Mus musculus: one gene and its partners. The protein of the gene in region 2 interacts with the protein of the main gene of each other region in a pairwise test. Links are inferred from orthologs where the notes say so. Each region holds a gene or a part of one and is shown on either strand. Other genes may lie near its edges.

Region 1 (3,980 bases), on a different chromosome or scaffold from region 2:
TTCCAGCAACAGGTAGGTCCCTGGCTGGCTACCAAGGTGTAAGCCAAAACTGTGTTCCCCTGCAGTCTCAGTGGCACTGCACCTTCTATGTGGGGCCATCAGAGAGACCCCATATACCCAGGGTAAGCATGTCAAGGGTCTCTAGGAACACAATCAATTGGAAAATGCCCTATGACCTGTAGGTTACTTGGAGAAACTATTACCAAGAAACCTCACCCCAGATGATGCCCTTCCTAAATTTTCATGGTTACTTAGTTGTAAACATTGATTGGAGAAAAAGTCATTAGGGAACTAACAGTCTGATTCTGTCAAGTGGTACATCACCACCTGCTATTCCCAAAGGGTAAGCCAGAAGTATAGGAAAAACTATATGTGGGGACAAATAGAGCACCTGGCTCTTGCTCTGCTGACTAGAGGTCTCCAGTGAGTTCTTGACCAATCTGAGGCCAGTCGCTTCTGGAAAAAACTTAGAGTGATCATACCTTCTGATACCAGCATGAGGTACGCAACAGGCTGGTGAATTGTGGGTGCTCAGGAAAGGATGTGTTGTGAGGCTAACCAGAATATCCACACTCTGGGTAGCCCAGCATGGGCCAGCAGGGTAGTGAGGGCAAGCACATTGTGCAAGGCCATTTAGGAGAATGGATCCCACTGCCATATGTTTATTCTAAGCTGCAGATGTAATGAAGGGTACTATAGGAAAGGGAGTTATGTCAGCCCCTCTTATGCTGAGTTTCCTGCTAAGGCCACTGAGTTGACAGCCATCATAGAAGAGAAAAATCAGAGCCTGTGTGAAAAGGATGAGGCACTTCTCCAGAAGGAGCAGGAACTTCGACAGCTGGAAAAAGGTGAGGAGTCAACCCCTGGCCAGTAAGCGTCATTAGTGAGCCAGCCTGTCACAAAGCAGTGTGCAGTCACTAGCTCACACTATACTCCCACTGCCCTAGGTCACAGTTCTGCCCTGCTGCAGATGCACAAACTGCAGAGGGAACTAGAGGCCTTGAAGACTTGCAAGGCTCAGGAGGCAATGCCAGCCACAACAGGAGAGGACTGCCTGCCACTGCAGGGCCAGGAGCCACTTGTGAGAGCTCTCCCTATACTGGAGGGAGGATTTGGGGTGGGAGTGGGGGGGGTGCTCTGCACTGTTAGGGCCCTGCTTTTGTGGTAAAGGTGCTCAGCTGCCTAGGGGGCTTGAGACCTATAGGACCATCTGTGTGCAGCACCTATGTGGTGTGTGTATATGCCAGTTGGTCACCAAAAGTCAGTAGTTTGCCTGGCAGGTACTGGATGGAATCTTCTCATATGGGGCTGGCACTCCTTCCCCACAGACCTGCAGCTCACCCTCTGCCTTTTGTCCTATTGCCCCTATCCTGTAGGTCATTTCAAAAGCCATGCAGAATTCTGAGTATGAGCTTCCAGCTGCAGAAGGAACTCCAAACGGTGAGGTTGGAGCCAGTGATCTAAAGCAGCTACAGAAAGAAAAGCAGGACTTAGAACAGCAACTTATCGAGAAAAATAAGGTGAGGACACCATACCTGGCTACCTATGCTGGATCTGTTCTAGCCCAGCCCTCAGGCCAGCAGCCCAGCTGTTCCTCCTCATTGCTATTACCTCCTCCCCAAGTCTGCCATCTTTCCTCTAGAGGTTGGTGCTGGTTTTCTCATGGCTCTCCCCCCACCCCACTTCCTGCTGTCCTGTAACTCTTCTCTGTAGACAAGGCTGGCCTCAAACTCAAATCTGCATGCTTCTATCTCCTGAGTGCTGGGACTAAAGGCATGTATGGCTTTTGACCTCACTCCTCAGACCTACTCTGCTTACATCTCTCTCAGTGCAAATTGCAGTCCGTGCTGAGTGTAATGACCCACACCTGTAATCCTGCACTCTGCAGACAGATACAGAAAGGCCAGGATAAAGGCCAGCCTGGGTTATGGAAAGCTTTCTTTAAGACAAGACCACACTGTATAGCCCTGTCTAGCCTAGCACTCACAGAGTTCATACCTTTCCAATGCTGGGATTAAAGGTATATGCCACCTCAACCTTGAGTCCTGCTTTCAAGAATGGCCATGGGGAAATTCAGTCATGGTAGTATGCGTCTTTAATCTCAGCACTCTGGAGGCAGAGGCAAGTAGATTCATCTGAGTTCAAGGCCAGCCAGGGCTCTGTAATGAAACCTTGTCTCAAAAAAGAAAGGGGGTGGGGGAGGTAGGGGAAAGAGAGGAATGAAATGGGGCTCAATAATAGAATACTTGACTAGCTAGCATGCATAAGACCCTGAGTTCCATCCCTAGCATTACAAAAATAAAAATAGAAACTCAGTCACAAAGTAAAGCATGGGCATCCCCTAGAGTTACTAGCCCATTACAAATTACCACTAGGAAGCCAAGCATAGTTACACATGACTGTAATGCCAGTACTTAGGAGGGGGACACAGGAAAGTGGGAGTTCAGTCATCCTTGGATACATAGCAAGTCTGAGCCAGTCTGGTATATATGAGACTCTGCCTCCCCCACCCTACACACACACACACACACAACCACTGGGGAAATAGTAAGTGAAAGTGAAACGTGAAAAAGAAAAAGCTGGACATTCTCATGTACACCTGTAATCCTAGCACTGTGAATTCAAAACCAGCCTGAGCTGCTTAGGAAGATCCTGTCTCAGACACAAAATAGAAACAAATTTTCACTCTTCAGTACAAGAATCAGAGCATAAACTAGAAAGTCTAAGAAAATTCTTATTTTGCTCTTATAGTTGTAAGATCTCATTCATATATATATATAGATATATAGGTATATCTATATATACATATAGTTTGTCTGTTTGTTTTCTTTGAGACAGGGTTTCTCTGTATAGCCCTGGCTGTCCTGGAACTCACTCTGTAGACCAGGCTGGCCTCGAACTCAGAAATCTGCCTGCCTCTACCTCCTAAGTGCTGGGATTAAAGGCGTGTTCCACCACTGCCCGGCATCAGAGATATTTTTATTTAAGACTTTTCCAAGGTACTGGAGAGACAGCTAAGCAGTTAAGAGCACTGTTTGGGTTTAGTTCCCAGCACCCACATGGCAGCTCACAACTCTCCTGTGTTCTGAGACAGGATCTTCCTAAGTAGCTCAAGTTGCCTTTGAGTCACAGTAGTTCTCTTATCCCAGCCTCTCAAGTGCTAGGATTACAGGTTTAACTCCAGTTACAAGAGATTCACTGCTGCCTTCTGGCTTCCATGAGCTCCTGTATTCAGGTGTAGCCCATAAACAGAGGCAGGCACACAGACATACACAAATGGTTTTGGTTTTTGGCTTTTTTTTTTTTTAAGATTTATTTATTATTATATCTAAGTACACTGTAGCTGTCTTCAGACACACCAGAAGAGGGCATCAGATCCCATTACAGATGGTTGTGAGCCACCATGTGGTTGTGGGATTTGAACTCAGGACCTCTGGAAGAGCAGTCAGTGCTTTTAACTGTTGAGCCATCTCTCCAGCCCCACAAATGTTTTTAAAAATAAATATTTAACAATTTCTCATTGAGTTTGATCCCTGTCACTGAGGAAAATAAAATTCCTGTGTTACAGATTATAAAGTTTTAAATTAGGAAAGTGAAGCTCAGCCTTTCTAATGAATGATGAGATGTGTAGTAAACCACATTTAAGCCTTGTAATAAAAAACCCACTGGTTACATATGAAAATAAAGGGGCTCAGTAGTTAAGAGCACACTTATCCAGAGAAGCTGGGGTCAATTCCCAGCACCCACATGGCAGCTCCAGTCCCATGAGACACCCTCAAGCAAAACATCCATATACATAAAATTAATTCTTTTTTAAAAAATGGAATATATTCTGCAGAGCCACTCACAGCAGCACTCTCAAAGTATATGAGCACTACCAACAGGCCTGAGGACCCAGCACACAAAGTTGGGTAGGAAGTGTACTGTCAAGAGAACAATAATACTGTGGCCCCTCAGGGGCCTCAGAAAGCAAGAGGTAG
Region 2 (4,537 bases):
CAGTCTGGGCTGGCTAAACGGGAGCAAGCAGTACTTCCAGCCTTTTGTCATACCTGACATTGTCAAGGTTTCTACAGCTTCCTCCACTCTTGGCCAGACTACGGGTGGATTCCATAGTTTTAGGAATCCTAGATTAGCAAACCCAATGGACTACATTCATCCCAACAGCTAACATTCAGGTGAGTCTACTGGCATTGGGAAGGCTGAAAGATCCCTCTTAACCCTGCAGGCTTTAACAGTTTCCAGATTTAAGAGGTAAAGATGCAGGTAGCCCAGGACCCTGGAGCTGGAAGCCTAGGTTCCCTTCCCAGCTTCCTGCCTACATTGCTCATTTTCACCTCTGTAGACAGTACCTGCCACTGTTTACTATCACCCCAGCCCTTCCACCAGGTGGAAACAGTCCAGCCATCTGTGTCAGAGGGAATATGAGCTCTATCCCTTAAGCCTGAGAAAAACCTAATCCTCTGTGTGCTCAAGGCGGGTACCTCATCTAGGTACTTACATGGCAGCTATCTGGCACAAAGCCAGTATGAACAGGTGGAATTCAGGCTGTTCCTTTCATTAACCCAGAGCTCCCTCATCTTCACCGTCTCAAACAGCTCAGCTCAGCCCTGGGATATACCCAGGTAGTTATTGTATCTAACCCAGGAACGTCTGCAGTTAAGTCTATTACAAAGAATGACACTGAAAACCCACATAGGTACTTTCACTACAAAATAATTTATTACAGCAAACACAGCAACACAAGACTATGTACAAGCACAAAGCACCTGACTACCCTATTACGGAACTCTCTTCTTCCCCCTTGCCTTACGGACCTCTTCTATCAGGTCTTTCAGATACTGGATCTCCTTGGCCAGAGAATCTGCCTTCTCTTTCAGAGCCTCATTCTTTTTTTCTAGCTCCTTACACTCGCCAGTGAGGGCCTCCTGCTCAGCCCGCTTCTTCTGGCGGTACCTAGTGGCTGCTGTCTTGTTTTGCTCCATCTTTTTCAGCTTCTTATCCAATTTCTCAGTCTTCACTTTAGCTGTCAAACTAACTCCAGGTGGGTCATAAGGTTTGGGCCGAGGAGACCCACGGGAACCACCTGGAGAAGGCAGATTGTCTGGTGGGGCCCTGGAGGTGGAGGGGCTATGCTGGGGAGAGCCCAGGTAGGACTCTGGGCTCATACAGATGCCACTGTCATTGTCAGAGGGAGTGTCTTCCTCCTTTACACATGGAGGGATTAGAGTAATGTAAGCAGCAGAGTCAGGCTTCCTGTCTCCTTCAGAGATATCAACTTCACTGCCTAGCTCTAAACTAAAGGAATGCTCTGGAGTGGAAGACAGAACCCCTGGGGAACAGGGGAAAGGCTGCAAGAATGTAAAGGGGGCAACCTGGTCGACTTTTATTAAACTTTCTGGGAGATGGCCAATTGGGTTCACTGTCTGAGGGGGCTCCTTATTAGTCTCTTGGACTAGAGGGGCAAAAAGATCACATGTGTCATCCAACGTGGTCAAGAGCTCATCTGGCATGGTTTCCAGGTCATCCATTCGAAACAGAGCATCGAAGTCAAACTCTTTCAGATCCATTTTCTCCAACATCCAATCTGTCCCGGAAAAGGCATCCTCTGGGAAAAGAAATTCAGGTGTGAACGGTTCATGTCATATTCGGGAGGCAGAAAGCCATTAGAACACCAGATCCATATGAAAAGGGCACACCAGGACAGCCGTCCTACTCACCCTTGCCGGTGTCTGAGGCACTGGCCAAGCCATCATCCATAGCCGGCCATTCCGAGGAGCCCGCCTTGTCGCTGGAGAACCCATGAGGTTTCAAGTGCTTGGCCACCTCCAGATAGTCATCTAAGAGACCTAGGCTTTCTTCAGCCCCCAAACCCGACTGGTCGAAGGGGGACATCAAGTCCCCCGCCAACACTTCGCTGTTCAGGAAGCTCATCTCGGTCATGTTGTGGGGCTTTGCTGGATTCGAGGAATGTGCTTAACTCGAAGGTATCTTTGTCCGTTACAGCAACACTGCTGCTGGATTTCGTGAAGAGCCTGGATGGGGACCCAAAAGCAAGTCCAGTCATCTTTCTATCTAAGATGCCGGATGGCCAAATCCCAGAAGCGTCTACAGGGAGAGCACGCGGGCCCAAGGCCATTGTGTAAGCCTCCCCGGCCGCCAGCTCGGGTTGCACAAGATGGAGGCTTAGCTTTGCTTCACCGGCCACCCAGAGGAAGCAGCTTGTCCTCGCGTCCTAATACGGCCAAGGCCGCCGCGCCCCGCCCCCGTGACTCACACCCCCGCCCCACCGCCATCTTGGGCATCGCCACGTTCGCAGGATGACACGGGGACCCCGGTGAGCCCGAGATGATTAAGCTAAGACAGGACGAAGGGGCAGCAGTAGCGCTTTAGACACTCCTCCGCCCAGCTCTGCCCGGGAGCGCCGGCGTCGCAGGCAACGCAAACAAGGCCGACGCGTCCGGCCGCTTGTAAAACCGCGTGTGCCGGCCACCGCGCCCGGGCCGCACCCAACCACAGCGAGGCCCCCGCCCTCCGCGGCCGGCCCCATACTCACGCCATGGCTTAGGCCGGTGGGGGTTGCCGCTGCAGAGCCTGGTGCTGCTGCCGCCGCTGCAAAGGCCAACGCTGCCGCAGGCACTGCTGCCTCTAATACGCCATGGTGGCCGCAAGCCCTGCGGGAGGGGAAGAGGAAAGGGACACCCGAGCACACAACTTAAACCGGCAGACAGCAAGCAGAAATGGCGGCGGCACGCCCTAAACCCGCCCTTTATAGCCTCGGCCAGGGACGCAGCACACCGCGTATCCTCCCACTGTGGTCACGTGATCCTACCGCAGCGCCACCAAACCGCCTCTCACTGACGCCCTCGCCCGCCCCAACCCTTCTCCGCTGTGCTCGGGGGGTAACTGTGGCGTTAGAGATCGTCCTAAAGGCCCCATGAGAGAAAAGTGCACTACTTTATAGGTTGACGACCAGCCGCGGTCTGGTTCCGGAGCGCGGAGGGATCGCTCGTTGACGAATTTCCGGTGTCTTACAAGGCGGGGTGGGACACCTAGCCAAAGCTCTGACGGTCAAAGCCGAAGCTGCCAGGTTATCACGCGAGACGCCGTCGGAGCGCGCGTCGAGCTGATTGGCCCAGGCGTGGCGAGTCACCTAAACCTCAAGTTCCTATTGGCTCTGCACCTGGGCGCTCTAGGATCAGGGGTCTGCGTGGAAAGGGAGGAGCCACCAGAGGTTCCGGGCGCCAGACTGTCACACCTGCCATCTCTTGTCAGATGTGATCCATGTGTATTTGCTCTCTCCGGCATCGCTCCGCACCGAGCAAACAGCTTCCAGGCGTGACCTTTGGGCTGGAAGCCATCTTTTCATGTATTTGTTGTTTCCAGAACCGAGTGGGCAGGCTTCAGGCATGTGGAGAGACCCTTCTGAGTTAGCTGGTCCAAACCTTCAGCTTCCTGTCAGTCCTGGGACAGGGACGGCACTTGGAGGCAGGGCGTTCGTGTTGGGGTCTTCTTGGGAGATATTCCGGTTCCTCCAGTTCAGCGATTTCCCCTGAACCGGGGAAACATGCCTAACCTCAGGTCTAACCTCCTATGCCCATCCTCCCATCATAGAGGCCCTCACTGCCGGTTTGTATAGGGTCAGTTCCCTTAAGATCAGGTTTATTCAGTTGGCTCTCAAGCCTTAACTTCCAGGTATCACCTTCCCAAGAAGTCATCCTGATGAGTGAGCCTGCCGCCTAAGTGATCGGGAGCCCCAGGTACTGGTCAAGGCCTCACCATAAAGGATGCTGTTTTGAGAGTGCTGAGAGGCTCTTTCCAACTCCAGCCTGGAAATCTTAAAAAGAGTTTCCACTTCTGTTTAAGTGACTCACACAAATACCACTCAACTGGCACAGTGCCTGCCACTTACTGCTCAGTGATTATTTGCAAGCCTTGTACAACCCAACCCTAGCGCTCGGGTACCATAGTTCAAGGTCGTCCTTGATTATATGATTGATTGCTATTTATTAATTCGAACCTAACTCTCCAGTCCCTATATCCCTAACTCCATCCTCCTTCCTCAGAGGAGCCTTTATTATTGTTTACTGAGACGGAACCAACCATAAAACACGAGGCCTACATAATGAGATGTTTTTATACCCAAAGAAGTCACAAGTGCATGTGCACACATACAGAAGTTACCTAGTCTTTCCATGCAAAAGCAACAAAAGGGTAACTATGTCCTCTCTTTGCTCTGGAAACCAAAACAGCAGCCACACTGCTACATTAAGTGGACATCCCTTACAAGTTTCTGTCCCCTAAGCATAATGTACCCTGCAAACCATGGTTTTTAACCTATGCTGAGTTCCTAACTCTATGATGTATGCCCACCCCTTGCTTTGCTAAACTCCTGAACCTGTGATACATGACTGCCTTTTGCTATACAAAAACGTGCCTCCCCAGAAACCTTCCACGTGGTGTAAGCTTGCACTTCTTTTTCTGGCCTCCTTTCTAACAGCCAATTATCCTAGCAGCTGTTTTCTATCACATGTAT
Region 3 (3,980 bases), on a different chromosome or scaffold from region 2:
TATATAACAAGAATTTCAGCCAGGCGGTGGTGGTGCATGCCTTTAATCCCAGCACTTGGGAGGCAGAGGCAGGCGGATTTCTGAGTTTGAGGTGAGCCTGGTCTACAAAGTGAGTTCCAGGATGGCCAGGGCTATACAGAGAAACCCTGTCTTGAAAAACAAAACAAACAAACAAAAAAATTCAAGTTGCTAAAGAAAGAAATTGAGGAAGATATCAGAAGATAGAAAGCTCTCCCATGCTCTCTCCATGGATAGGTAGAGTTAACATAGTAAAAATGGCCATCTTACCAAAAGCAATCTACAAATTCAATGCAATTCCCATAAAAATTCCAACACAATTCTTTACGGACCTTTAAAGAGCAACTCTCAACTTCATATTAAAACAAAACAAGGATAGTTAAAACAATCCTGTACAATCCAAGAACTTCTGGAGGCATCACCACCCCTGATTCCAAGCTGTACTACAGAGCAATAGTAATAAAATCCATAAGGTATTGGCATAAAAATATGTTGATCAGTGGAATAAAATTGAAGACCCAGAAATAAACCCACACAACTATGGACAATTTAACAAAGAAGCTAAAACCATACAATGGAAAAGGGAGAATGTCTTCCCTAAATGGTGCTGGTCTAACTGGATGTCTGCATGTAGAAGAATGCAAATAGACCCATATCTATCACCCTGCACAAAACTCGGGTCTAAGTGGATCAAAGACCTCAACAGAAAACCAGACACACTAAATCAAATAGAAGAGAAAGTGAGAAAATGCCTTGAACACATTGGCACAGGAGACAAATTACTGGGCAGAACACCAATAGTTCAGGCGCTAAGATCAACAAGAAATGGAACCTCACGAAACTGAAAAGGTTTTGCAAGGCTAAGGACACCATCAATAGGACAAAACAGCAGCCTACAGAATGGGAAAAGATTTTCACCGACCCTACATCCAACAGAGGACTGATATCTAAAAGATATAAAGAACTCAAGGAATTAGACATCAACAAATCAAGTAACCCAATTGAAAAATGGGACACAGAACTAAGCAGAGAATTCTCAACGGGAATCCTGAATGGCTGGGAAGCACTTAGATGTTCAACATCCTTAGTCATCAGGGAAATAGAAGTCACAGAACTTTAAAAAAAAAAAGACTTATTTTGTTCTGTGTGTGTGTGTGTGTGTGTGTGTGTGTGTGCACTTGAGCTTGTGGGTGCATCAGAATCCAGAGGAGGGTACTGCATCTCCTGGAGCAGCAGCTACAGGTGGATGGCAGGCGTGATCTGTCTGACATGGGTGCTGGGAACTGAACTCAGGTCCTCAGGAAGAGCAGTGTGTGCTCTTAACCACTGAGCCCTCACTTCAGCCCTGAGAACTTTTATTATTAATAATTAAAAAAGAAACCCATCAAGTCTTTCTGCTGCTTCTAAGTTGTTCTGGAGTGGATCCTGGCCGTTACAGTTTCTGAGATGATTCTGCTGGGCAGTGGGTGTTGAAAGTCATTAACTCAGCCTCTTTTGAACAAGCTCACCTTGTTTTTTCAGTTCCGTTACATGGTCCTTCCTCTCTCTTCCAAGTCCCCGAGTGAAGAGCAGGGGCAGACCTGAAGGACAAACTGTCTACGGTCTAGTTTTTAGATAATTCTTTTCTTATTTGTTACATCTCATACTACTTGACTCTTTTTTCTCATTAATATAATTCAGGCTACTTAGGAAATTAACTTGAGCAATACTCAAAAGAAAGAAAAACACCATGAAGTATCAGATAAGCCACCTATTCAAAGGCAGCCCACTGCTGCTGCAGCTACCATGTGAGCCTAATTTTTGGAGACACCTGGTCTCCCCTTGAGAACAGTGTTCTATTCCACTGTCTGTCGTGGGAGATGGCAACAGCCGAGAGGCCAAGTCCAGTTCACTTGCTGTTTCGATAATTGGTTTTTTTTTGAGATTGGTCTTATAAGTAGCTATATAGAAGAGGCTGGCCTTGAACTCACAGATATTCATTTGCCTCAGTCTCCCAAGTGTTTGGATTAAAAACATGTCTTATTGGAACACAGAATGCTTGCGGCTGTATACTGTGTCTGGCTGCTGTTACGCTACAGGGGCAAAGCTGAGAGACTGCAACAGAAATCATCTGGCTTCCCAGGCGAGTCTAAAGTACTCACTGTTGAACAAAACCTTCTTGTCAGTCCCCGGTATATATCATTCTGCAATTGCTTTTCTTCCATTTTACATTCCATGGGCTTTCCCCGTGTTGTTATAATTACTTCATTTCTAATAACAGGTTTCATTGCACACAACGTAGTTAGGTAACGGTGTAGTTTTTTTCTTTTGATAAGACATGTATTTTTACCACCTTATAATTCAACCCTTAAAATGCTTCATGGAGCATGTTTGGACACCTCTCTCTCTCTCTCTCTCTCTCTCTCTCTCTCTCTCTCTCTCTCTCTCTCACACACACACACACACACACACACACACACTCACACACAATCCCTGAGCTACATCACAACCCTTTGCATTCCTAATGTGCTCTTTAACATGGCTGTCCAGATTGCTCAGCTAGCAGCACAGTAGCGTACAGGCAGCAGGTAGGACCCTACAAACACCTTTGATACAGACAATAACATCCTTTACTCGAAGGCTGGATAAAAACTTACACCTTATACTCTTTGATGACACAGTAGAGAATCTTTTACATATGTTTTCCAGAATTGAACATTGCCATCTTAAACATTTTCTTATTTCAGAGAGGCAAACAAGCATTATTATCTTACTTTGCACTTCTCCTCTTTCCATGGGGGGCTGAGCTTGTTGCTAAATGGCTGCATTTCTTTTACATGCTGGCTGACTCCACCTTGCTCGGCCTCCTCCTTCCCAGGACGCAGGGGGCGATCCTGGCTGGTCTCTTACCTTAGCTTGGAGCAAGGCTCCTGCTTCTGCTCGGTTCTTTTCCACATCTCTCTCCCACTGAACTCGGATCGTCTCAAGGACATCATCCAGACCGGTGCCCATGGGGACATCTGCTTGCTCCAGCTCAGACCCTGCCAGCTGTTTGTACAGAACCTTCACATCCTAAAAGCAACAGTGGACACCTTAGGACACCTGTCTTTCCTCTAGGGAGGAAAAACAGGCTGGCTCTGTGGGCATTGCTTGGCAGGCCTGCTTATCTATCTATCTATCTATCTATCTATCTATCTATCTATCTATCTATCTATCTATCTATCTATCTATCTATCTATCTATCTTGCACCATGCATGGGCACCACAAAGACTGGCAAAGTCCCAGATCTTCTAGGTATAGGTATCATTTTTCTTTCCCCAAGGATGCATTTCTTAGATTAGATCCTCCCAAGCCCATGCCCAAGTTAAAAAAAAAACAAAAACTAAAAACATAATCAAAAGTAAGTACATAGTATAGTAACCTATAGCAAGCATCTATAGAAAATGGAAGTTAGGCATAACATCAGGATGTACTAAAGGAGATTAAAATCCGTTCTAGAGTCTAAGGGGTGGCTGCTGGAGTGTGCTGTCAGGAACTGAGCCAAGAACAGGAAGGAACAGGTTTCCAGCCATTGGTCAGCTTCAGGTTTGGGCACAGGAGGAACTCCGCAATGTGAACACGGGCAGTGAGCTGTGACTGTCAGCTTGAAGCACCCTCAACCATGAATCAGAGTGATGTGTGTGTGTGGTGGTTTCCTGCAGGTGACGTGACCACATCCCTGCTAGAGGTGCCCTTTGGTCCTGTCACTTAAAGATACAACCTTCTTTTGTTAACGAGTGTGTAGGAACCACCCGTGCGCCTATCTTTAGAATTATTCAGTTGATCCTGTTCATGCAGTGTTGAAAAAAATATCTAAAATAGAACACTTTAGGGAGATGGTCCCTCCAGTTTCAACTATTTCTAACAGTCACGTCTGCTTACAACTGTTGCTTCCACTTTTATCAACCTTCCTGGGCCTCAAAGACACTTGAGTTTGAGACTT
Region 4 (4,751 bases), on a different chromosome or scaffold from region 2:
AAAACGAAATTTAAAATTAACTCAGGACCGAAAAGGGCTGTGAGATGAAGTTGAGTCTGATTGTTTTGTATATGGAGAGTTAGGGCATCACTGTAGAGCTCACACTGCGATTCTGGGTACACAACCCCTCAACACACCCATCACATGTACCCACTCCCCACTCACCCCGCTGCCTCTCTCGAGCCTTGGTCTTCCCAAATCGCTTCCGGCTAGTACTTCCCTTCTGCTTCTGCCTCTTCCTTTCACTGGCACTTCCGTCTTCGGAAACCCCGCTGAAGGAGGAGGCTGCCGACTCGGGGTCTGAGGCTTCTCCAACCCCAGCCCTGCTGTCCCCATCAACCCTCCGAGGTCCAGGCTTCATCCGGCAGTAGTCCTCTAAAGAGAGACAAAAGTGAACTGTGACACAATGTCCTATAATTGCCCTGAGGGGGGAAAGATGGACATGGAGGCCAAGTCCTCGGAATGAGGGCAGGGTGAAGTCCCCAAGTAGAGACATTAGCTACACTGAATGCCATAGAGCCAGCTGGGATTCGGGGAATAGTGTGAGCATTTTTCTAGGCTCTGAACTTGACTGAAACAGGTCCAGGGAATTCATGAGAATCTGTGACTATGCAGAGTTTCTGTGGGGGAAATGTATCCTGGGGAGCTCCAGAGTGAAGAGTCAAAATCCGAGAGGCAGACAGTGCCTCTGGGTAGGAGGATTGGATATCAGACTCCTACAGAAGTCAGGGTTCAGTTTGGGTACTGGGAAATGCTAACTACCTTCCCCTAGATAGGGAGCCAACTCAGACTCAGCATCTTCTGAAGGATGAACTCCTGAGAACTGAAACCAAGACTCTGCCCAGTCATACCAGGGAAAGATAGGAGTCACCCTGGATAGAGCTCTCAGTATAGGAAGAGAGGGTATGCATGTCCCCATCCCAGTGCTAGGTCCCTTTACTAGAGCTTTTGCCATGGTTAGCAATGAGAAAGCCTGCCAGCAGCTCAGCTGGATACAGAGGTTAGGGTTATGGCCTGAATAAAGGCTAAGTACTCCAAGAAACCAGGGCTAAAGCTCTGGGAAAGGGCAGCCTTGAGTGGGGAATGTGCTGGGAATGGCAGTCAACACAGGTTAATGAGATAGGGCCCTGCCTGTCAGAAGAGGTGACACCACCATGCTGTTACTAGTTGTAGATTAGAGCAAGACAAGGGAGTGGGATCCGCTCAGGACCCTAAGGTGAAGCTTAGGAGACAGAGGTACTGGGACCCCCACAGCCTTTGAAGAATAAGAAACATGAGGCATGATAATGTAGAGCAGGGTAGAGGGAAGACAGAACCCTGATTGGTATTTCAGGGTACCTCTAATGGATGATGACTGCATCATTCAGAAATCCTGGGGTGCTGGCAGGGCCCCTCTGAGGAATCCAGTAGACTGCAATGGGTCTACTGACAAAGGGACATTTCCCCTAAGATGAGGAACCTGGGCTGGAAATATAGACTCTGGGAGACAGTTATGCCAAGTGCTTGAGGCTGATGAGTTACAGGGCAGTCTCATCACAAGATAGGAAATGAGAGAAGTCTTTGAAATCAAGAAGGAAATGGCTGGGGAAGGCCCTAAAATAGGCATGGGCCTTAGTGGAAGGATAAGATGCCAAGTCCCCATCAGGTCCAACCAACATTGGGTGTTGAATTCTGCGGGTCCTGGGGGACTGTGTGCCCCCACCTGCATCCATCCGGGCAGAGGAAATGAATTTGTCCAGCTGACACCGCAAGAAGTCCCTCTCCTCCTCCAGGTCCTCAATGCGCTTCTGCAACCACGAGTTCCTCTCCAGTGCCATGTGCAGCTGGGCCTTAACACTGCTCATCAGGGCCAGGGTTGGGGAGGCGCCCTCTGGAGGCTCTAAGAACAGCAGGGACGGAGGTCATGCCCCAGGGTGAGGCAGTACCCCACCTGACTCCAGTCCCTCCAATGCCCTTTCTCAGCTCACCCTCAACATTTCTCCGAGACGGACTCAGACGGTATAAGATTTGTGAGTCTAAGTGGGGTGCCTCTTCAAAGGGAATGGAGATCTCAAAGGTCTCTTCGTCCTTCACTGCAGAGAGGTCAGCAGAGGTCACCCCAGAAGTGGCCTGAACCTTATAGACCACCCCCAACCATTGCTGTCCCATGGACAGAGGGAACCAGAATGTCAGACCAAGGATGGGAAAAGAAAGGGTCCCCAGGTGCCTCACTTGTCCGCCAACGGTTGTTTCTGTCATTCATATCGAGGAGGCTTCCTGCAGACCCAGCAACTGAGCCCTTGGGGGCACTGGACAGAAGCAGGTCACCAAAAGTCGGCAGTCCCTGGAGAGGTGGAATACCTGTCCCTCCGGAGTAAGGAAGGATCACCAGTCTGAGGGAGGAAAGGACCCATACTTCTGGACAGAGTCAGAGGCTTCCAAAGTATGTACCCAGAGCGAGGGGGCTCAGCGAGAGGAATCTTGGTTGTGAAGGGGCTCGGCCCTTAAATTCTTTGGTTCCTCGTGGGGTCAACACCACAGGGAGACCTGGCCTGAATGAGAAAGCCCTTCATCATGGCCCATCTCCGAACCCAATGCCATAAATGGAGAAACAACCACCCCTAACTTCCATTCTTGGGGTAGGGGGTCCATCCTGCAAGCGTTCCCCTGTCCCAGCCGCCCATTCCTCCCGCACTCGCGTGGGCGAGTAAAGCCCCTCCCCGAAGTGGGAGCTGGGCGCGTGCGCAGTGCGTGGGAGGTCACGCGTGGGGATGCGCCCCCACCCTTTGTCCCACAAGTGGGAGGGGGCGACCGTGGCGAAGGGTCCCAGAATGGGCAACCGGCATGGGGGTGTCGACCGTGGGCACCGTTCCCCGCCTTTGGGTGCTCAGGGTACAAGGGGCCGAGGCCCCGCTCTCACCCACCCGCGCACGGACTCCAGCCCCGGGACCGACGGCAGTGGCGGCGCCCATGCCCAGCGCAGGGGAGCGTCTGCAAAGTGTCGCGGAGAGAAGCGCCCACCCACCAGTAAGCGGGCGTAGCGGCAGAGGAGGGGGAGAACTGGATGGCGGAGCGCGGAGACGTGGGCACTAACCGAATCAGGCCTGCCGAGCCTGGGGCGCCTCTTCCTGGAGCCCAGGTGAGGCCCGCCGTTTGCGCGGAGGTCGGGACCGCACTTGCGCGATAGCCCCTTGCAACACCCCTCCAACCCCCACCCCACACACAACCCCCCCCCCCTCCTTTCCCAAAGCCTAGGCAGGGATCCTCATGAAATTCTCATCCTGCACAGCTGATGCGGTTCCGGGGGTCCTCCGGGTGAGTGGCTATGTGACCAGTGGGCCGAGAAAAGTCAGAAGGTATGAGGCAGTAAGGAAAATTGAAGTGAAATTTGAGTCTCCTTTAATGATCCCTAAGTAGCTGATTAATACATGCATACCTTTAGTCTTAGCCGCTCCAACCTACCATAACCTCCACCCACCCCCATCCACGAAAAGGATTAAAGGAATAAGAGGACCAGGATGTGAGAATGGGTTGTGTGGTGGTTACTTCTCCGCAAAGTGTGGGTCAGGAATAGCCCACACTGGAGCCACCTGTGGAACAGCTACACTCCAGTCCTTGCTCCTCATTCCTCCATGGCCTCAGTTTACTCACCTGTTCAGTGGGAAGTTACTCTTAAAAGCCTTTGAGAGGATGTAGTTGTGTGACATACCAAAGGCTCAGCCCAGAACCGGACCACTCTTGGAGCTTAAGATCCAAGCGCTGTTGATATTATTTGAAGTCAGTCGGTGTAGATGCACAGCCTTTAAGACACTCCCCCTCTCCCTTCCGCCCCAAAAGAAGTCGTGTAAAGAGGCTATCTGCATAGGGCACATACACACACACAATCAGAGGAAAGGAGCAGCGAAGACATGTTTATTAGACCTACACTGCCTCTCCGGTTCACAAGCAGCATCCTCTTTGGGGTTCTGAAGCCCTAAGAGGCATGACTTAAACCATCCTTGCAGAGGAAGACTGAATGTGTCAACCAAGACTAAGCAGTTCATTTTTACAAATAAACTGCATCCTGGGTCAGCAAGTCCAGGGGGAACCACCTGCCCTAGATCAGTATTTCAAACCACAGAGAATTGTATAAAGCCAGGTGAACTGTATAAAGCTGTGCTTATGCTCTAAGATGCTATTTTTTTAAGTATATTAATGTGGATTGTAGTTTGGGTGGGGAAGGGGTAGTGTTCAGAACCTTTTTCCCAAAGATGCTAGGAATGTTGCGCAGTGTGTAAGGTGCCTAGCATGCACAAAGCCCAGAGTTTCAGTATTCTGGAAGTGGAGGCAAGATCATAAATCCAATGTCACCCTGAACTACATTACAACCTTATCTAAATAAATAAATAAATAAATGGCAGGTTTGGGGAAACTGAAGTAGGCCTAACTCCCAGAGGAAAACGGCAGACTTTCCCATTACCCAGTCAAGGTCTTTGTTCCAGATAGCATAAACTAAAATGTCTCCCAAAATGTAAGTAAGGATTGAGAATGGGGTGTGGTGTGCATTGAGTGTTCAATATAAGGTCCCTACTTCCAGTGTCAAAATAGAGACCTCTGACTACCCACTAAAACTTCCCAGGCAAGAGTTTCCCCAAACAGCATGGTCCTCCCTTCCTCCTATCAGGAATCCGTAATAATAAATATCCCAACTGTTCAAGGGGCAGGGCTGTTCTCTATGAGGGCTCGTTTCCATATACCTCCAAAGCACTATGATGCCCTGACAGCTCAGAGAC
Region 5 (3,732 bases), on a different chromosome or scaffold from region 2:
CTGCTAAAGGGCAAGGCTGGCAGCTAAGGGATTCGATGTAGCAGGGTAGCAGATAGGACCAGAATTGATTGAATTTGGAGATATATTTTTAAAAGCAGACCCATTGTGTATCAGCTTGATGACCCAGAACGAAACTTAGTTATCAACAACTAATCACATTCAAACTAGGCAGACAGGCTTATTTAACAGTGCACATGGTAGTTTAACTACACAGGAACAAAGGTACTCATAAACAGGACATGATAAGAATCAAAGATAGGATGTTTACAAGTGGACACCCTGTATACATTTTATAAATCTTTTTTTGGGGGGAGGACATTCTTTTTTCTTTTTTATTAAATTTATTTATTTTTTTCACTTTACATCTCAATATCAACCCGCTCCTCTCCTCCCAGTGTCCCCTCTCCTAGGTCTTTCCTCCATTCCACCTTCTCTTCTCTTTTGAGAATAAAAATCCTCACAAAATAACATCCTCCTCCACACACACACACCCAACAAGTCAAACCCTCTCCAAATGAGGACAGACAAGCCAAACCATTTAGAGTAACTGGGTCCTCAAGCAGGCAGGCAGCAGACACAGGGACAGCCCTTGCTCCAGTTGTTGGGGAACCTCCAAGAAGACCAAGCTGCACATCTGCTACATGTGTGCAGGAAGGCCTAGGTCCAGCCTGTGCTTTCTCTTTGGTTGGTGTTTGCAAATCTTGTTAACAAAATTGCTTGTCAAAGAGAAGTCTTTTGTTGCATACTATTTATTTATTTAATGAAAGTGAGTCTACCTGTGAGTCTTTTAGACTTGGAACCCAAATGACCTCCTGCACGGTGGCCCACAGAGTCAGCGTTATTTCTCCGAGTGAGATTTAAATGAGCAAGGAAATGTGTTAACCAACCAGACACTCCTCACCCCCAGAGCTTCCAGGGACTAAACCACCGACCAAAGAGTATACATGGAGGGACCCATGGCTCCAGACGCATATGTAGCAGAGGATGGCCTTGTCAGGCATCAAAAGGAGGAGAGACCCTTGGTCCTGTGAAGGCTGGAGACCGCAGTGTAGGGAAATTCGAGGGAGGGGAGATGGGAGTGGGTGGGTGGGTGGAGGAACACCCTCATAGAAGCAGGGGGAGAGGAGGATGGGATAGGGAGTTTTGAGGGGAGGGAGGCGGGAACGGGGATACCATTTGAAATGTAAATAAAGAAATATCCAATAAAAAGTAAAAAAAGAAAAAAAAATGTGTTAAGAAAGGATCACTTTAAAGAAGCTGATGGCCACAGACCCACAAAGGAACACTGAATTAGATGAACAGGCTGCCTGCAGAAAAGTTTCAGCTGGAGCAGGCCAGCCCTGAGGGCTGAGCATCTGTTCTCCACTGTGGCAAGCTTTGCTCCCTCAGCCTTCCTACTTCCAGGTGGAAGAACTGGCGGGACCCCGCAGCGAAGCTCCTGGGTCACGCCCTGCTCCTCCTCAGCCACATCCACTCTGGCCACCAGTCCCACCCTGACCACGCCCCCACGCCATCCCGCACCCTTCCCAGCCACACCTTCCTTACCGCACTGCGCTAGCGCACAGGTTTGTAAAGTGACCCTGTGGGTGGAGTTTCTGCCGCTGGCTGGGACCCCTCCATTTATTGCCCAGGGTCCGCACTCCTCTGAGGACCCGCACTTCCTGCTCAGCCTCTCTGTGCAGCTCCGTGGAGCCGATCCGAGACTGAGACCGAGACCGAGACCGAGACCGTCCAAGCAGTTAACCATGGTGGAAGAGCTGCTGTCGCTTCTGCACGCGCTTCTGGATAGGCACCAAGCCCTGTGCATGGAGAACCACCAGCTCCTGAAGCAGCTGCGACTGTTGGTGTGTGAGCGGGCCAGGCTGCTGCGCCAGGTATGTCCACCGAGCTGTCCGGTGCCCTACCCCTCACGGTTTAGCGGCGAGAGTGGTCGGCTCCCTGAGTTTATCATGCAGACCATGTCTTACATGCTTGCGAATGAGGAGCACTTCTGCAATGATGCCATGAAAGTGGCATTCTTGATCAGCCTCCTCTCCGGGGAAGCTGAGGAGTGGGTGATGCCTTACATCGAGTCAAATAGCTACGTCCTCGGTGATTATCAGGCCTTTGTTGATGAGATGAAGCAGTATTTTGGCTGGGGTACCGACGACGAAGATGATGGTGATGATGATGAAGAGGAAGAAATGGAGGAAGATCACTAGGCCGGAGCCCCCTTAGGCCTAGAGGTGGGGGCCTTCACGCCTTTTCATTCCAACCCCCCACCCGCCATTCCTGCTGCCTCAATCTCTCCCTTTGCATGGCCATCCTCTTCCCCGCCAGTCTGTTTGCTCCATCATTCCCTTCAGGACTTGTCTTTGTTCCAGTTACCTGCTGTGAGTTGGGCCTGGACCTTGCTCTGAAACTCACTTTGGCCTCAGGCACTTATCCTAATCTGAACTCTGTTCGGAGTTCCAGCGATTTTCCAGGTCCCTATTAGAACTGGTCAGACCACCTGCATTCCTGCTGCTGACATCCACTGGAACTCAGGCCAGTCCGCCATCTGCCCAGAAGCAGATTCCTGACATTTCACCTCCACTCACCGAATTTCATCTGAAGCACTTTTCAAGATAAGGACCAAGAAGATGATGGAGTTGCTACTCCACCCATTCAGACTCTGTTTTGGACTACTCACCAAACCTTGAAGGGGCCAGCCAGTCTTTACCGACTGGTTAGTTCTGTACGTACTACCAGGTTCCACATCTGCCTGACCAGAACAGGAACCTGATGTGCCTGCCGGACAGTTAAAATGTTGACATGTCTTTTCTCCTATGCATCAGTTTTGCACAGCACGTTTCCTTTCAGAACTGCAGCAGCCTCACAGATGTGTCCATGTGGACAAGGACTACTAAAATAAAAGCAAACGGACAGGCATTCAGCCCAGATCCTCTCTAGTACTTGAAAAAAGCAATGTAATTCTTTGCAATAAATATCAAGCACTGCAAAACTAGCAGCAAACTGTTGTCTTTTCATGGTTAAGTGCTACCATTGGCTATTGTGACTCACCTCCATTATTTCATTGTGGTTGGGGAACTTGGTTCAATCCCAGTATTCTCACTTTCATTTTTGGGCTCCAGGGGGCCCTGTCATAGGGTTTTAAAAGCTGTGGTGAAGGAGCATTGTCTGGGGCTTCCAAGGTGACATATAAAGGGTGGCTGGGTAGGGGGGCTATCATCTTAAATTAGGTCACTTTGGAGAAATAAAGGGACATTATTAACATTTAGACTGACAGTAGAGGCATATTACTGGGCACAGTGAAGTTTCCTAACATGGCAGAGAAGTTTTATCCATTGTCCTTCTTTCCTGTGGGTGGCAATTAGCAAGATGCTTATGTCTCCTGAGCTAGAACCTGGACTGGAGTTTGTGAGTTGACATCTCTCAGACAGTCCAGAGGGTAGGTACTGAGAATTATCTGCCCAGCTTTGTTTGTGTGTCAGTCCATTATGTTACCCTGCTGAAATGAACTTGGTAAAGGGGTATACACGGTAACCAGGAAATATTGGAAAGATCTAGGGTTTCCTGAATCTGCCTGAATGTCATTTTACTGGTTTAAAAGCGAATTCAGACATAGAACTTTTAATTAATTTAAATAATACATCGTGGTTTAAGAGTTTCAGGCATGACCACACTTATTTATTAAGCTGCTAAACCTCAGGGAGGAATGAAATGGGGGGCGCTGGTCATCATATGAGTAAC
Region 6 (3,995 bases), on a different chromosome or scaffold from region 2:
GTGGTCAGGATGAGGAGGGGGGGAGTCATATGGGGGCACAGTGAGGCAGCTGGGAAGTGTGCTCAGAGTTTGTGGATACACTGGAGGCCTTCTAGGAGCTAGGGTTTCAGAGCTGAAGTGTTACTTTATTGCTTTTGACTTTAAACTCAGGCATTGGGGGTGGGGGGTGGGGGCTGAAAGTAAACAAAACAAAACAAAACAAAACAAAACAAAACAAAACGTGATCTTAGAAGAAAGAGCTAGGGTAGGTAGCAAGGAGGAAATAAATACACAGACTACTTTTTCATTCTCTCCCAAAGCTTGGTCCTGTCTCAGCACCGTTGGATCTCTTTATTTGGGGGAAAGAAGGGGTGACCTTTCTTTTCTTTTCTTTTCTTTTCTTTTCTTTTCTTTTCTTTTCTTTTCTTTTTTTTGAGACAGGGTTTCTCTGTGTAGCTCTGGCTGTCCTGATACTCACTCTGTAGACCAGGCTGGCCTTCAACTCAGAAATCTGCCTGCCCTACACAGAGAAACCCTGTCTCGAAAAAACCCCCCAAAAAACAAAACAAAACAAAACAAAACAAACAGAAATCTGCCTGCCTCTGCCTCCCAAGTGCTGGGATTAAAGGTGTATGCCACCACTGCCTGGTGGGGTGAGCTTTCTGAAACAAGGTCTCTTTGTGTCTCCCTGGCTGCCCTGGAACTCACTATGTAGACCAGGCTAGCCTTGAACTTACAAGATACACGTGTCAAGCGCTGCTGTTAAAGGTGAGTATCACTATGGCTGGCCCTTTGTGTTTCCTGTACCCACAGCGGGGACACACTGCCTTTGGACCCTCCTCCCTAAGCCTCCTTCAGCTCCTGACATGCATGGCCCTTTATCATCTGCAAAGCCCTCCCAGGCTTCCTTAAGTTCCCCTGCATCCCTGCATGTCTCCTCCTCTCTTTGCTTCTCCCTGCCCTCTGACACTAGCTTCATTTCCATAATGCTCTTCATTGCCTGGGCTCTTCTGGTATGTGCACATGCGTGTGTTCTTGTGGCAGGCAGAGGAAAGTCTCTGGTGTCATTCCTCAGATGCCACCCAGTTTTTGTCTTAGGATTTATTTTTAATCGTGTGTGTGTGTGTGTGTGTGTGTGTGTGTGTGTGTCTGTCTGTCTGTCTGTCTGTCTGTCTGTGTCTGGGTATAAGCACAAGTGCAGATGCTTGAGGTCAGAGGCCCTGGAGTTATACAGTGGTGAGCTGCTTCAAGCAGATGCTGGGAACAGAACTTGGGTCTCTGCAAGAGTTTCACACTTTCTTAATCACTGAGCCATGTCTCCAGCCCCTTTAGTCCTTCCCTTTCTCTCTTCTCTCTACCTGAGATAGTCTCTCACTGACCTCCGAACAAACTCGCTGAATAGGCTAGCTGGCTGACCAGTAGTCTGGCTCCAGAGATCTGCCTATCTCCACTTTCCCAGTACAGAATTACAAGTGTGCAAGCAAGAGCACTGGATCTAGACTTGGGTTGATTTTCAGGCAGGTTCTCAGCATGTATGTACTCTAGGCTAGCCTGAAGTTCAGAGCCAACCTCCTGCCTTAGCCTCTCTGGTGCTGGGATTATAGGCATGTGCCACCACACCCCACTTGGGTCTGGTTTTTTGGCTGCAGCAAATGCATTATATGTATAGTACTCCGTGGAGGAATGTCAGTTGAGGAACCCAGTGATAATCTACAAGGTTAGAAAGCTACAGTCCTCTGGATTCCGGGCCTTTTGCAGAGCCCTGGGATGCTAGAGGGGAGAGCCCATAGAATATACCTTGCAGGTGTACTCTGTGCCTGTGGGGCAGTGCAGGGCTCGATAGCTGCAGCTGCCTTGCTCTCGTTCCAAAAGGATATAAGGCCCCAGTCGAGTTGCAGGGGCCACAGCAGGTGACAAGTCTGAGGCGGGAGGTGGGCTGGGGGGCAGCAGGCTGGGGAGTGGTCCGGGCTCAGGCTCATCTCTCACTCGTTTTAGGACTGGACACTTGGCATCAATATTGTCATCAAACTCCAACGGTTTCTTCCTGCAGGAAACATCAGCAGAAGCAGCCAGAGGTGTAGCTCGCATCTAGAGAGCAAGGAAGAAAGACTGTTTGGTATCCTGTCTTCTCTGCTAGGACCTTCCGAACAGAGAAACACCACACTGGGTTTTCCGAAGCTCTCAAATGCAAGGACTGCTAGGGAAGGAAGGGACCCGCGACGAATGAAAGGTTTAATAACGCAATAAGGAGAGCTGAGCTTAGGGACGCACCCCTGCTTCGCCAGCACCCTGGGGGCTGACTGGTGAATTGCCAGTCAGCCTGGGCTGCATAATAAGCTGGGGTCGACAGCTCAGGCTGAGGGCGCCCCCAGACGGCGAAGTAAAGGAGCGAGAGAGTGAGAGTGAGAAGAGTGAGAGTGAGTAAAAGAGAGCGAGAGCGAGAGGGAGAGAACGAGAGAGAGAGAGAACGAGAGAGAGAGAGAGAGAGAGAGAGAGAGAGAGAGAGAGAGAGAGAGAGAGAGAGAGAGAATAGAAATATTCATGAATACGCCTGGACTTCCAGTGACCCTCTTGCCAGACCCGGGTAAATCCCCCTTCGCAGCTCCCTACTGGGTACCTTGTCCTGGAGCCTCAGAGCCGCCTGCGCCCACGCCCGTGGACCGCCGCCAGCCTAACTGAGCAGCTCTCGGAGTCTCCTGCACGCTAGTGCCAGACCCCAGCCGTCACGTACTCGGCAGCAGCCTCTTCCGCTGCTAAAGTGCTGCGGCACCGGGACGCGGGCTCGGATCCCCGCCCGGCTGATGTAAACCTGAGCTAATCTGCTGCTGACGCCCAGCGGCCCGGGATTGCACCATCTGTGACCCGCCCATGTCGCCGAGTGAGCTCCGCCCTCACCTTCGGGGCCACACGCCCCCAACCCTACCCCGCCCCCCAGCTCCTGAAGTAGCACTCGGAGCCACCGACTCTCCGTATTGTAGTACTTTATACCTATTTCCCCGTATATGAAATGAGAATAGAGGAAAAAAGAATGAACGGAGGCTGTTTAAAAATCTCGTCAATCCCCTCCACCCGCTACCCGGTAGTCGGGCAGAGGCAGGTGGATCGTTGAGTTCGAGGCCAGCCTGGTCTGCAGAGTGAGTTCCAGGGTAGCCAGGGCTACACAGAGAAACCCTGTCTCGAAAAACAAACAAACAAAACAAATATCGCCTCCACACCCCACTAAGGACTGGGCTAGAAGCCCCGTGCTCTGCGTGCATCCTGGGAACCTTCCCTCCAAAGCAACCCTTTCAAGGGTGCACCCAGTTCTGCTGTAGCTCAGAAAAGCCGCTTAGCGCCCAGTCTGGCTCGGGGTGTGGCTCTGTGAGAGCACAAAGCCAAAAACAACCAAAGGAAGCAGAGCTCCATTTCCCTTCTCCGTAAAATGCTGCTCTCATCACATGGTTGCCGTGAACATTATTAGTAAGTTCGTGTGCTCAAAGCTCTTAGAAGAGCTGGGTGTGATGCACACCTAGAATCTCAGTTACTCGGAAGCCTAAGGCAGGAGGATGAGTTTGACCATGCAGCTCTGGCTTGCCTGGAACTCACTCTGTAAGGCAGGCTTCTCTCAAACTCACAGAGATGTACCTGCTTCTGTTCCCCAATACTGGGACTAAAGGCCTTGTTATCAAGCTAAAAAGAAATGTGGCCGGGAGTGGTGGTGCATGCCTTTAATCCCAGCACTCTCAGGAGGCAGAGGCAGGCGGATTTCTGAGTTCAAAGCCAGCCTGGTCTACAGAGTGAGTTCCAGGACACAGAGAAACCCTGTCTCAAAAAAAAAAAAAAAAAAAAAAAAAAGAGTAAGGGTTGAAGCAGAGTAATGTTTTGTAGCTCAGCCACAGAACATTAGCCTAGTAGTACATTTGCATATGGTAAGCAGTGAGTCCGATCCCCAGTAACAACAAAGTGTAGTCTATGGGACTTGTAGGCACTCTGTAAATAGGATGGAGCCGCTGGACACTGCAGGTGGAGGGACATTA
Region 7 (3,956 bases), on a different chromosome or scaffold from region 2:
CAAGTAGCAGCTTTGAACCTCCCACCTCAGCTGCTGGAGCCGGGTTGTGGCGACGCCCAGCTGCCCAAACAACTGCCGGGACAGGACCAGACCTGGCAGTCGCCGGCTTCTGGCCTGGCACACGGGAGGGGGACACTGGCGGGCGGGCGCCGCCCTTCCTGGCAGGAGTTGCCCTGACGGCGTCTGCAACTACAGGAAGGCTGCAGTTACTCTCCGCCAGGGTCGGTCTAATGGAGGGGGCGTGGGCGCGGTGGGGCTCCGGCGCCGGTCTGTTGAAAGCCGCTCGGATGGCTCCCAGGGCTCATGAGAGCACGGCCCTCCCGCCGCGGGCGCCCTGGACCCGGGCCTGGGGCTTTCCGCGCCCAGAAAGCCGCCTGCTCGGGAAAATCCCGGCCCCCTTCCCGGCGCCGCGGCCCTGCCCGGCAGAGCGGGGGGGAGGGGATTCCCGGAATCTGCCCGGAGACCGCGCTGGCGTCACTGAGCTGAATAGGCCCATATATGGGCAGAGCTTCCGTAACGTCAGCGGGGAAAGCCCCGGCGCACTCTGCTGGGCGGGGTCATGCTTGCACATTCCGCGTTTTGTCCTGGGTAGCTTGTTCCCCGCCACTGCCCGCCTGCGCAGCGTCTGGTGCCAGGACTCAGGGGATAGGAGGTCTGGGCGTTTGTACTGAACCTTATGATACCTGAAAGGAGCGAGCTACAAACAGCACCGTGCTTGGGGTAGCCCAATCTTCTCCCTCCATCCGCCCAGCTTGGAAGAAAAAAGAGACCACAGAAATTAATAAAGACAATTTTTTTTTTACTTAAATAGATTCAATAAAAAGTCAAACACACACACACAAACACATCTTAAAATAGACTTTAGACACGAAGTGCGTGTTTCTTCTCCACAGTACTATGCAGAGGGGGAGGGCAGGGGGCGGAGGTCCCTCCCTAGTATCCCCGCAGGCTGAGTACCAAGCGGCGGGGCCAGCTCCGCCGCGACAGCCCCCTTCTCCCCTCCCTGTTAAATACACAAATATATTATATTCAATATGAATTCAGTCTCTTTGCAGAAAAAAAAAACATACAAAATACGCTGGAAGGGGGCCATGTAAACCTCGAGGTGGAAGGACTGGGCGCAGGCGGGCGGGCCGGAGTCCAGTGTGTGAGCTGCGCCCCAGGCCTTTTGGCGGGTGCCCATCGCCTGCCCCCCTCACCCCAGTGGGGGGCAGGCGCCCAGCCTTCAAGGCTGGGGGTGTCCGTATGGGGCAAGGGAGGCTCTCAGAAGGCGTGTCCCTTGACCCCTAGCAGCAACTGGCAGCCGTTGCTGACATGGGTCATGACCTTCTGCTTGAGCTGCGCCACTTGCTCCCGTAGGAGACCGGCAGCACTCGACAGCCCCGCGTTCTCAGCCTTGAGTGTCTTCACCTTGTCCTCCAGGCGCGCGATGCGCTCCAGCTTCCGCTTCCGGCACTTGGTGGCCGCCAGCCTGTTCCGCAGCCGCTTTCGCTCCACTTTGATGCGCTCCTGGTCTTCCATGTTGATGGGGGACACAGGCGGCGTGGCGTCGCGGCTGCGTGCCTCCGGTACGGTCTGCGGTTCCTCTTTAAAGGCGGAAGCGCCGCGACTCAAGCCCAGCTGTGCCGGGTGGCCGCCCGCAAAGGGTGGTGCATGTGGGAGGTAGCTGATGGTGGCCGTCGGGTATGAGCTCCCAGTCCCGACGGCGGTCCCGGAGCCTCCAGAGGGTGCAGAGGCTGGGGAGTAACTGCTGAGGTTGGTGTAGACGGGAGGCGGCTCCGGACCAGCATAGACGCCCCCTGGGCCGGCCTGGGGACCCCCGCTGGCGCCCAGGGACACGTTGGGGGGCGTCACGTGGTTCATCTTGTGCAGGTCGTCCAGGGCTTTGACAAAACCGTCCGCAAAGCCCTCCTGCTCCTCGGTGACGCCGCCCCCTGTACCTCCACCGCTGCCACCCCCACGGGGGTAAAAGTACTGTCCCGGAGGCGTGGGCGTCGTCGTGATCACGCCGTTGCTGTTGGGGACGATCAAGCGCTCCAGTTCCGTGGAGGCTAGCTTCAGAGATGCGCCTGTGTCTGATCCCTGACCCGAAAAGTAGCTGCCTGCCCCACTGCCCTCCGGGCCTGGACCCCGCGCCCCAGGACCCTTGAGACCCCGATAGGGATCCGCCAGGTTGAGCGCCAAGGTGGGTTTCAGGAGTTTGTAGTCGTGTAGAGACAGGCTGCCAGGGCTCCGACCGTATCCCGCCGCTGCGTAAGAGTCGTCGTGATAGAAAGGCTGTTCCATTTTCGTGCACATCCGGGCGGCCTGGGCGATCTGGGAAAGGTCCCCCTGAAGGGCCGCCCCGGGCCTCGCTGCGGCGAGCGGCGAGCTGTCCTCGGCTGTGGCAGGACCCGGTGTCCGGTCGCGCGTCCTCGGGAGCTGGAGACGGTCAGCAGCGGCCAGTTGGCAGCTGTGCGTAAAGGCGCTGCTGGGCTTCCGGAGATTTTCTCTCCCTCCGTGGTGCGCCTGCTTTCTCGGCGTCGCTTCCCTCAGTTCCCCGCTCCCAGCAGGATCCTACGCTGGCCTGGCCACCCTCAAAGTCCCCAGTGCTCGGCCCCAGCCCCAAGCTTTTATACTGAATTTGTCAGCTGCGGAAGTGCACTCCGATTGGCCGACGCGGGAGCCAGGCCCCCGCGGCCCCCTCCTAGAGCGTGGGGAAGGGGAGGAGGCGGCTCGCGTCACTGTCAGGAAGCGCGTGTCCTTGTAAACAGCGGCCACGAGCCGGGTGGCTCTGCGCGGCTGCAGGGGGAGGGGCTGTGGAGACAGAGACACACAAGCAAAGGGATGTTGAGGGGCCGAGGCACATAGGGGCTAGAACTGCGGGAGTACAGCCAGGTGCTTATGAGATACACTGCAAGTGGAGATTGGATACCTTAGGATATCCCCGGAAAAGTCTCGTGGGACCCAGGGTAGCTGTGGCTTGTGAACTGACAATACAGTAGAAGACCCCAGAAAACAGAGAAGATACAAAACAGGGGCAATTGTTAACATTTGGCCTAGGAATTAACCAGAGGTCCCGGGTACAAAGTGCTTAAAGAACTGGAATTGTCAGTTGGGAGGAAAGGGCCAAGACACAACAGGGCTCAGGTACCTATTGTACAAGAAATGAGTAGGGGCTCTAGAGTCCATAGATGAGTCTGAGGGTTTCCCCATAAGTGGAAAAGGGAAGGAATTTTGGGGAGGTCAATTTAGATATTCAGAACAAAGGTCCTGGGGACGCTGAGGTAATCGGAGTAGAAAGATGGGAACATATCTAGCAAAGGTTGGGGTCATTGTGGATATTTGCAGAACTCTGGCAGAGAATTAAAATGGTCACGACATAGCTTCCTTCCGAGCTATGAAGGCAATGACAGGAGGGTATCTGAGATCTTCCTGAGAAGATGACTCGGAGGATCCCAGAGACCAGGACTTGTACGAATGAGGCTGTACCTCGTAGGTGGTCCCTAGGGCACTGACATGCCCAGTACCTCAGCCCAAAGCCCTCCCTTAGTCACCCGGGGCTCGCCCGATATCCTGTCAGCTTTTGGAGGGCCGATGGGGCGGGATAGCTGGGGTGCGGTCGCCCAACCCCACTCCCTTCCTTAGAAACAGGCTAGGGAAAGAGAGCCGAGGCAGGAAGTGTGGCAACAGCCCCGAGGGGGAAAGAGCCCGGCCCTGTCTCGTCATTGTGAGCCTAGGGGATGGTGCACCCTACCCTGGGCCTGCCAAATTCTGCGCCTGGGAAGAGGAACCTCGGCAAGCGACCCTTGGGGAAGTCACAACCCAGCTACAGACGCTTCTAGTCATAGTCTGATCTCCCCCATCTAGAAATGGTTCAGCCTGCAACCATCGGCGACTAATAAGCCTGGCAGCCGAGGACTGTTCCATTGGCCGGCTGGAGGGGGATGCAGCCTGGGAGCGGGGCCTCGTCACCA

The links.
Region 1: the proteins of Atf4 (region 2) and Golga1 interact in binary tests that used the Homo sapiens proteins (3 or more experiments, as listed by UniProt). The two-hybrid records come from large-scale screens. The link is inferred for Mus musculus from reciprocal best matches to the Homo sapiens genes ATF4 and GOLGA1.
Region 3: the proteins of Atf4 (region 2) and Bfsp2 interact in binary tests that used the Homo sapiens proteins (3 or more experiments, as listed by UniProt). The link is inferred for Mus musculus from reciprocal best matches to the Homo sapiens genes ATF4 and BFSP2.
Region 4: the proteins of Atf4 (region 2) and Ccdc106 interact in binary tests that used the Homo sapiens proteins (3 or more experiments, as listed by UniProt). The link is inferred for Mus musculus from reciprocal best matches to the Homo sapiens genes ATF4 and CCDC106.
Region 5: the proteins of Atf4 (region 2) and Ldoc1 interact in binary tests that used the Homo sapiens proteins (3 or more experiments, as listed by UniProt). The link is inferred for Mus musculus from reciprocal best matches to the Homo sapiens genes ATF4 and LDOC1.
Region 6: the proteins of Atf4 (region 2) and Trib3 interact in binary tests that used the Homo sapiens proteins (3 or more experiments, as listed by UniProt). The link is inferred for Mus musculus from reciprocal best matches to the Homo sapiens genes ATF4 and TRIB3.
Region 7: the proteins of Atf4 (region 2) and Junb interact in binary tests that used the Homo sapiens proteins (3 or more experiments, as listed by UniProt). The link is inferred for Mus musculus from reciprocal best matches to the Homo sapiens genes ATF4 and JUNB.

The regions. Positions count from the first base shown.
Region 1 is NC_000068.7:39,020,241-39,024,220, reverse strand, and holds part of Golga1 (golgin subfamily A member 1), read left to right. Parts: coding exon 1-12; intron 13-745; coding exon 746-848; intron 849-947; coding exon 948-1,081; intron 1,082-1,376; coding exon 1,377-1,520; intron 1,521-3,980. UniProt on the Homo sapiens protein: Involved in vesicular trafficking at the Golgi apparatus level. Involved in endosome-to-Golgi trafficking. Mechanistically, captures transport vesicles arriving from endosomes via the protein TBC1D23.
Region 2 is NC_000081.6:80,253,706-80,258,242, reverse strand, and holds Atf4 (cyclic AMP-dependent transcription factor ATF-4), read right to left. Parts: upstream 3,060-4,537; 5' UTR 2,558-3,059; intron 2,037-2,557; 5' UTR 1,945-2,036; coding exon 1,722-1,944; intron 1,610-1,721; coding exon 783-1,609; 3' UTR 698-782; downstream 1-697. UniProt on the Homo sapiens protein: Transcription factor that binds the cAMP response element (CRE) (consensus: 5'-GTGACGT[AC][AG]-3') and displays two biological functions, as regulator of metabolic and redox processes under normal cellular conditions, and as master transcription factor during integrated stress response (ISR).
Region 3 is NC_000075.6:103,445,642-103,449,621, forward strand, and holds part of Bfsp2 (phakinin), read right to left. Parts: intron 3,540-3,980; exon of another isoform or gene 3,407-3,539; intron 3,070-3,406; coding exon 2,908-3,069; intron 1-2,907.
Region 4 is NC_000073.6:5,055,120-5,059,870, reverse strand, and holds the start of Ccdc106 (coiled-coil domain-containing protein 106), read right to left. Parts: upstream 3,146-4,751; 5' UTR 2,373-3,145; coding exon of another isoform or gene 2,243-2,372; coding exon 2,212-2,242; intron 2,073-2,211; coding exon 1,968-2,072; intron 1,880-1,967; coding exon 1,703-1,879; intron 376-1,702; coding exon 166-375; intron 1-165. UniProt on the Homo sapiens protein: Promotes the degradation of p53/TP53 protein and inhibits its transactivity.
Region 5 is NC_000086.7:61,707,965-61,711,696, forward strand, and holds Ldoc1 (protein LDOC1), read left to right. Parts: upstream 1-1,646; 5' UTR 1,647-1,745; coding exon 1,746-2,201; 3' UTR 2,202-2,986; downstream 2,987-3,732. UniProt on the Homo sapiens protein: May have an important role in the development and/or progression of some cancers.
Region 6 is NC_000068.7:152,341,261-152,345,255, forward strand, and holds the start of Trib3 (tribbles homolog 3), read right to left. Parts: upstream 2,801-3,995; 5' UTR 2,597-2,800; intron 2,068-2,596; coding exon 1,777-2,067; intron 1-1,776. UniProt on the Homo sapiens protein: Inactive protein kinase which acts as a regulator of the integrated stress response (ISR), a process for adaptation to various stress. Inhibits the transcriptional activity of DDIT3/CHOP and is involved in DDIT3/CHOP-dependent cell death during ER stress.
Region 7 is NC_000074.6:84,976,132-84,980,087, forward strand, and holds Junb (transcription factor jun-B), read right to left. Parts: upstream 2,618-3,956; 5' UTR 2,299-2,617; coding exon 1,264-2,298; 3' UTR 778-1,263; downstream 1-777. UniProt on the Homo sapiens protein: Transcription factor involved in regulating gene activity following the primary growth factor response. Binds to the DNA sequence 5'-TGA[GC]TCA-3'.